Linked DNA regions of Daphnia pulex. The protein of the gene in region 2 purifies or fractionates together with the protein of the main gene of each other region. This does not show direct contact. Links are inferred from orthologs where the notes say so. Each region holds a gene or a part of one and is shown on either strand. Other genes may lie near its edges.

Region 1 (3,996 bases), on a different chromosome or scaffold from region 2:
TCCTCAACGTTGTTGATAAGACGTTGAGGATGGATGACTATCGTGAACGAACGAACCAACCAACACCGGCAACAAAATAGAAAATGTGTGTTTCTTTTTGGTTTTTCCTGCGTTCTTTTCTCGTTTATGCACACGACAAAGTTTAAGTTGCGAGATTTCATCGCTTGGAAAGTTCGACGAGCGAGTAAATCGATAACTTAAAAACATTCACGCTGGATATGGAAGGAAAAGACTCGACTCGATTAGGAGACGGACCTCTACGGCGATGAAAGACGATCTCGGCCAAAAAGAAAAGCAAGTTTCAAGTTACAAAAGACACATCTTTATCCATTGTCGTTTATAACTTGTAAAAGAAAACAACAGCAGGAGTAATAATAGGTTCGGAATGGAGGACGGTGAGTTATCCGATCCCCGGCAGGAGAAGCATCCAGTGGCGGAATGAGGAGCCTTTTTTTTCAATTGTTTCTTTTTTCCTACCCAAACAAACGCCAAGGGAGAAAAGAGAATTCCTTTGCTAGGTAGGCCGCTTGCTTCATGGCCCCCCTCCCCAATCGAAAATGTGACACACATAGAAGGAATGGATCAACTTAAGTCTCTGGTAGGGAGCGACTATTGTGTCTCTACTGCCCTACGAAAAGTCCATCAAAGCTATACAACATTGAAGAAAGGCTTCCAACAATAGGAAGGAAGGTACTTTTTCTTCTTAGGCTTCGAGAGGGGATTTTTTCCCACGTTGATGGATTCCTTCTTGGGCGTCTAAAGGCTCCGAGGGGAATGAGGATCAACTCGGATTTCAAACAAGCCTTGAAAAAAAAAAAAAAAACGAATTTTGAATCTCCAAAGGCCTCGTTGAGTGATGGATCAAAAATGCTGTGCTCTCTCAACCAGACGGAAATCTTAATCCACTTGGAATAATTTGACAATCGATTGTTTAGAGGATAAAAATGAAATGCCACAAAAATCCAACCCACACACGCAATTAAAACTGTTGGAAAACAAAAACAACCCCTTTTCAAATAAATTCAGGCGTACGTTGTTGTTGTTTTCTGTCATGAGGGATGGATTCCGGCATCAAAACCAATACGACCCTACAATAGTGACCTTTTGAAAAGAAAAAGAATTCCCCGATCGATTTGTTGGTCATGCCGTGATTAAGTCGTACGAAGAGTTTTTGCTGGAAATTTCTTGCTTTTCTTGGTTGTATTTCAATTTTGCCTATGTTGGATAAATTACAAAAGAGGGTAAATGTTTGTCCTTCAAAGGAGAGGCCAGCAGACAAATTTTGTTGAAAAAAGTAGGTAAAGGAGAAAGGTTTATGCTGTTTCCATGTCGTCGGTTTCTTCGGCTGAAGCGGCTACGGCTGTCTTGTGGCCCGATTGCGGGATATAAAACAATCCCCCCATCGCCTCTTGAAGAGCCCGGCAGCAAGATAAAGCTTCAGTGTAGCCACCGGCTCTTTCAGTAGCATTGGCCGCTCGGATATTGGCGAAATACTTCAACTTGCCGAGCACCTCGATGGCCGGAGGTGAAGGCCCGTTGTAGTCGAAAACGGGAGCCGAGTAATGGAAGAGTGGCAAATCTTGTTGCTTGGGAATGGGAAGGAACGAACTCGTGTTCTGACGAAGGCCAATCTGAATTCCTGATGAGAATTTGCTCGATTTGACAACTGGTCCACCGGCCTGGGCTGCTGCTTTCGGTTGTTCCTTAGCCAGTGCGGCGGTTGCTTGAACGTGAGAGGCCACGATCGACTTGGCATCGGCGTCCGAGAACATGAGCTCATCGATAAGTTTCTCTCGAGCCTTGTGTTTCTGCTTCTTTTCTTCCAGCTCGGCATTGACGTACGAATTGGCCTTTTCCGACTGCTGGGCTTTTTCAGCTTCCAATAGCTCTTCCAACTCAATCTCTTCTTGGCTCTGCCTGTTTCTGTTTTTCATTGTGATGTCTTTGTTTTCCTTCTTGTAGTTGTCAATCATCTTGTTGGTGTTTGTAGAGTCAACATCGAAAACCAGGTTGAAAATTATATTCTCCACCTCTTCCAGGTAATCATTGTACTCTCGCAGAGTGGAGAAATCCTCCTGGCGTTTGTTAAACTCTTTCAGAATTCTCTTGCGGATATCAACCTCTTTGTCAACAGCAGGATCCTCAAAGAGCTGAATTCTAAAATTTTGTCTTCTGAGTGCACACTTGCATTCCGGACAAGCCCCAGAGCCTGAGAAAAAGATACTAGAGCTACCCTCCAAAAAAGTAAATAAAGTTGTAAAATGGGGTACCTTTGGCGAAGAGAAGTTCTACGCAGGACTCGCAAAGAGCATGACCACAGGCATTTACCATGAGAATCATGGCAGGATTTCGGTATTTGGTTGTCTTGCATTTTGGGCACGTTTGATCGTTTCCATCCATTGTCAATGTCTATCAAGAAAAATGTTAAGGTTGACTGCTCAAACCATTGGCGCTTTCATAAATACAAAGAAGAATCATCAATTGAGCATGTTGATATTTTCGTGCACTTTTTTCAACACATTTCAACCAACCCAACCGATTCAAGCAGACGACTCAACCACTGTTGCCGCTTCGTTATTTAACATCTCCGCACGTGATGTCAGTTTTTGTTCGGAAAATGTTTCATTTCCAAATTTTCAGAGTTGATTACTTGATTCATTGGGAATCACACCAAAGATTGTGATAAGATGGGAAGCAGCCCAAATTCACATTTTCTAACAACCACGCTTCCCTTGATCTAGCTTCCGGTTGCTAACCACTGTACGTAAAGATGGCAGCACTGAATTTTACCTGTAAAGAAGGAACAAAAGACAATAAAAATCTACCACATGTTGCATCCGAATTCCTGATTTTTTTATTCAAACTACCAATAGTGTGTACATGCAGTAATGAAATAAAACATGTTATACACGTTCTCCCACATAATATAGTACCTAATATATAGCATTAGCCGATTAAAGGGAGTTGTTAAACACACATATCCAAATGAATTTTTGAGGGTCGCAATCCGCAAATCATTTCACAGTTTGCAGGTTACATATTTTTCATTTCATTTATATTGTTGTATTTTTAAAGATGGCGCGCTGCGCTCCCGATGGAAGGTATATTTACAATACATACCACAACGGGATTTCCCCAGAATTGTAACAAAAACGTCTCTCTCCTCTGCCCACTTTCCTCCACGTTTCAACCCACGTTAAATCATGAGAGTTCGCTATATAATAATAATAGTGGTTTCGTTAAATGAATATTTTCCCTTTCACCATTTAAAGAAAACTTGAATTAAAGAGGAAACAAGTGCACTGTGAGCGTGATCGGTAATTTTGGAAATGATTTTTAGATAAATCGAGGCTTCCCAACGCACACTCAAAATGGAGAAAATTAATAACACTCGTAGGATATTCTAAATATTGTTAAAAAAAGAAGGAGGGGCTAGTAATAACTGAAAAATGGTTTGAAAGAAGGAATGAATTGGAAAATCTAGCCTGGCTGCAGCTATGTAGGTATACAAAGGTAGGGTTATTTTTTTCGATGGCCAGTAGCTTAAAAAACGGGAAAAATAATGGAGACGCGGAACAAAAAAAGAAAGAAACTAAATAAGGATCAAAAGAAAGGGGATAGGCAAAGAAAATAAGAAAAATAAATGATATGGGAAGGGATAGGAGTGTACGAAAGGGATAGCAATACAATATTAGTAACAATAATAACGTTATCATTTGGTAAAGGAAGCAAAAACAGCCCACATCAACTCATTGGTTCCAGGTTTTGCACTCTCGTTGTCCAAGTCAAGGTAGAGGAGTTCACGAACCCGTTTCATGGCCAGCTCGTAGTCGTCGTCGTTTAATGGGGCAAAGGCATTCTCTAACACGTCAGAGGCGTGAGCCAGGAAGATGAGTGACAGCATGCGTTTGTCCATTCGATGAGCGTCGTTTACCCACTTGGATAAGACTGCTTCTTGTACCTGTAGATGGTTTGGTCAAAGGAACAAAAGGTTTA
Region 2 (4,378 bases):
TTTTCTCAATCTTTGGCCGCGCTCTTTACTATTTTACCGCCTCTCTTCATTTTTTTTCCGCTTGAAATGATGAGAAATAACCAGGAGTTCCGTAAATCAGAAGACGCTAGTTAGACTCCTTTCCCCCGTTAAAAAAATGAAATACATACAGTGGCACCACTTCAATACAGCACAAATGATTTGTATTTTTAAATCATGAATTTAAATGTGACGAACGTGAAAATTGACTACATATTCGGAATTGGTTCTCTGAACACTTATGGCAAATGGATCTGTTGGATGAAACGTGAAAGCAACAAGGCGACGGGCAGAAGAAGGCGGAGCTGGCCGGCCAAGAATACCAGCATAAATGCGAAACCGCAGCAGTCCAGATTCACGGACGTAGAAACGAATGGGGTGCTCTCCACTAGTCTTTGGACGCTCCATGAGCGAAACCCATTTATCGTCATAGGAAAACAGCTGCAAATCAAGGTAAGGCGAAGAGGAATAGGATTGTGCTGAAATGGGAAGTTGTGAAAGAAGTCGTTTTGTGGCTTCCGTCTGCCCACCAAAGCGAGCGCTGACAATGGTCTGCTTGAATCGTTGATGAATGACGTTTGCAAATACGTTGCTGGACGGTGATCCTTGTGTTGCGTTGCGTAGTAAATCGCAAAAGTTCTCGAACAAGTTCAGTAGTTCCTGACTTGTGTTTTCATAGACGTTAATAACCTGTAAAACAATAATACGTGGGATTAAGTTTTTTTCTTTTAATTATAATCAAGATACCTGTGCGTTTTCCATATTGTAAACGACAAAGAAGGCCGGTTGCGTATTTGGGTCTGGAGCTCGTAGTGTAACCACATCTTCACTAGCATATTTCAGAAGCAAATGTGACTCATCCAACAACTGCATTTTCCAGATTCGGAGTGCGCGAATGTGATCAAAGTTCTGATAGAACTTTCGTACGTGAAAGAGATTCCCTTCGGCTTCAGCCATGTTGATTGCTCGTCGGTAGAGAAACACTAGTAAACGATGCTTGAGCGCGTTGACAGTTGCCTCTCGAAACGGACGAACCAACTGACCCGAAGGCCAAAGTCCCCGTACTTGATTGATTAACCATTCGTCATCGTCGAAACAAAATCGACCTATAGTTTTTACATCAGCAAAATAGCCATCGTGTGAAATTTTAAAAATGTGTATCGTTTGATGCTGGACAGAGAGAACTGCTAGAGTGTCTTCATACAAGTAAAGTCCTTGGTTGTGTGAGAGAAAGATTTTGTCGGTCTTCATTGTTCTAGTATCACAGAGCCTTCCATTGACGATGTCAACGATGTGAAGTGAGCAATCTTCTAGTGGAGAACGAGGATGAGGAGATACGGATTCATTATTACGGAAAATATCAAAAAAATTTGGCTGGGGCTCTTCGGGAACGTACGAGGCTGAACCGACAATAACAAATCTTCCGTCACCGACAAAGAGACTGCATTCGCGATTTAGTTGTTCACCAACAGGAGTTACAGCAATAGTATGCTTTAACTGGAAGAATTTAGAAAATACTTTACTTCTTAAATTTACAGCTTCATTGGTATCATTTCCAACAAACTCTCTCGTTCCTGGAACATCTGTAAGTAAATCTTCTACTGCACTTGGTCCAAGATATTTGTAAACTTCCACTGAAGTTTGATCTGAAGAGAATGCAATAAAGTACTTGCCGTTGGGTGTAAATTTTCTCAAATAGCATGGTGGCTTTTCTATGTTGACAATTGTAAAATTTGGGACAACACTTTGATAAAATGATCGGCAAATGTGATAGTTTCCGGGTTTGACATGAGTCTCTCGACGAATCAGTCGAATTACAACATTCTGCGAGGGAATTTTTCTAGGAGTCAACTCGAACTCACCATGGTCAGCCTGTCTATATTTGGGGTTCATCATTTTCAGAACCTTTTTTATTACTCGGCATTTTTACTACGTATCTGCAATTCCCATTTTATTCGCCGTGAATTTTAGAAGTTTCAGATTTTTAGTGATAAAGCACATGTGAAATAGAACTGAAGCAGGTTTGAGATGTCAAAATCCGAAACATTTTGTAGAACAGATCGATCTAGCGGTGGTAATAGAAAGATAAACAATAGTTTTTCACGCCACCTGTTGACGAGTGAAATTCCATTTTAAAATAATCGTTCTTGACGGGTGATTAAAAGTTGAAAGAAACTTTGAGTGTATGAATGAAAAATGCACGTGAGTGGAGAAAGAGAACCTAGACTTCAGCGATATGAAAAGATTGAATTTTTGGGAGAAGGACAGGTAAGGTTTTGATTGGCACTGTCTTTTGTGTATGTTCAACTGTTTTATTTTGTAATTTAGTTTGCGACAGTCTACAAGGCGAAAGATACTCTAAACGATAACAAAATAGTTGCCGTTAAAAAGGTTTAAAAAATGTGTTTTCATTTCAGCGTTTCCGGTTCGTTTATAAAATACTAACACTATTTCTGTTCAAGATTAAACTGGGTTCACGAGAAGAGGCTAGAGATGGAATCAATCGAACAGCTTTGAGAGAAATCAAGTTACTCCAAGAACTCAAGCATGACCATATAATTGGTTTACTTGATGTCTTTGGTCACCGTTCTAATGTATCTCTGGTGTTTGACTTTATGGATACTGATTTGGAGCAAATAATCAAGGACACAACCATCATTCTCACTCCAGCACACATTAAAGCTTACATTCTTATGACACTTCAAGGACTTGAATATCTCCATCTTCTATTTATTCTTCACAGAGTAATAATAATAATATATATTTTTCCCCTGTACATTATGACAGAAGTATGCACATTCTTTTTTTTTCAACTACCATTTTAGGATCTGAAACCTAACAATCTTCTTGTTGATCGTCAAGGAATACTGAAACTTGGTGATTTTGGTTTGGCAAAATCGTTTGCATCACCCACTCGTATCTACACTCACCAGGTTGTGACGAGGTGGTATAGGTAATTTGAAGAAATGCAACATAAATATTCAGCTGAAATTAAAATTGATCACACCTGAAACTAGGTGTCCAGAACTGTTGTTTGGTGCTCGAATGTACGGTACCGGTGTTGATGTATGGGCAGTAGGTTGCATAATGGCTGAACTTTTGCTTCGACTCCCCTTTTTACCTGGAGAATCTGACTTAGATCAACTTACACGTATTTTTACAACTTTGGGCACTCCAAACGAAGAGAATTGGCCAGTAAGTACATAAAACAATTTTGAACTCAACCGTCTCCCACCTTTAAACTCTAGTCATATTTCCTTGATTAGGGACTGCTTTCGCTACCAGATTTTGTTCAGTTTAAGGCTTTCCCCGTGATTCCAATGCGGCATATTTTCACCGCCGCCGGAGATGATTTGCTGCAGCTTTTGAGTCGTTTTTTGGCATTGCATCCTTTAGACAGGTGTACTTGTAGCGAAGCTTTGCAAATGCCGTATTTCAGGTATGTATTTTGATTAATTTTTAGATATAAAATTCTAAGTTTCTTCCTTAACAGCAATAAACCAGCTCCAGCTCCAGGATCATCTCTACCTCTACCTGCATCTCTAAGTCAAGCAGCAGTCGACAAAAGCGGAACAAAACGTAAAGTGACGGACAACGGGGAGGGAGGTTCATTAGCGAAACGTTTAGTTTTCTAATAAGTGGTTGAACCAATACATGTGTTTCTAATATAACCTCTAGGTTTATTTCCACCACTCTTGTTGATACAACTTTACAATTTCAGAAGCTTATGACACATTTGCTTATTTTCTGTACCACATCTGAATAGTCTTCATCCGTTTTACTTTTTTCTGTAACTGAAGGATGCCGTACATCAGCGCTTCGGCAGTAGGAGGGCAGCCAGGGACGTAGATGTCAACTGGGATAATCCTGTCGCAACCACGCACAACAGAATACGAATAATGGTAGTAGCCACCACCATTAGCGCAGCTTCCCATAGAAATTACCTGGAGATAAATAAATAAATTCATGATGCCTAATATCTGTGAGAAAGTGTTCCGGTTACCCAACGAGGTTCGGGCATCTGATCGTAAACTTTACGTAAAGCAGGAGCCATTTTGTTGGTAAGTGTACCAGCTACAATTATGACATCAGCCTGACGCGGAGAAGCACGAAATACCACACCATACCGATCCATGTCATATCGCGGAGCTGCAATGTGCATCATTTCTACAGCACAGCAGGCAAGCCCAAAGGTCAGAGGCCATAAAGATCCCTGAGAGCGAAAGTTGAATATTAAAATTTTTCCAGCTAATCCTTAATGATTAACTTCACATAATCTTTAATTTTTACCTTTCTTCCCCAATTGAGAAGATCATCAAGCCGGGCAACTGCATACTCTGCCATATTGTTGGTGTTTTGA

The links.
Region 1: the proteins of cyclin-dependent kinase 7-like (region 2) and CDK-activating kinase assembly factor MAT1-like purify together in Drosophila melanogaster (affinity purification with western blotting; 3 studies listed by BioGRID, with this or other methods). This does not show direct contact. The link is inferred for Daphnia pulex from reciprocal best matches to the Drosophila melanogaster genes Cdk7 and Mat1.

The regions. Positions count from the first base shown.
Region 1 is NC_060019.1:8,785,866-8,789,861, forward strand, and holds CDK-activating kinase assembly factor MAT1-like, read right to left. Parts: upstream 2,580-3,996; 5' UTR 2,401-2,579; coding exon 2,271-2,400; intron 2,210-2,270; coding exon 1,314-2,209; 3' UTR 1,182-1,313; downstream 1-1,181. Other genes in the region: Golgi phosphoprotein 3 homolog sauron-like, read right to left, coding at 3,713-3,961.
Region 2 is NC_060020.1:945,688-950,065, forward strand, and holds cyclin-dependent kinase 7-like, read left to right. Parts: upstream 1-2,140; 5' UTR 2,141-2,214; coding exon 2,215-2,286; intron 2,287-2,346; coding exon 2,347-2,409; intron 2,410-2,480; coding exon 2,481-2,762; intron 2,763-2,843; coding exon 2,844-2,971; intron 2,972-3,035; coding exon 3,036-3,213; intron 3,214-3,284; coding exon 3,285-3,457; intron 3,458-3,511; coding exon 3,512-3,653; 3' UTR 3,654-3,689; downstream 3,690-4,378. Other genes in the region: DET1 homolog, read right to left, coding at 202-708, 766-1,914; NADH-quinone oxidoreductase subunit B 2-like, read right to left, coding at 3,759-3,962, 4,022-4,231, 4,309-4,378.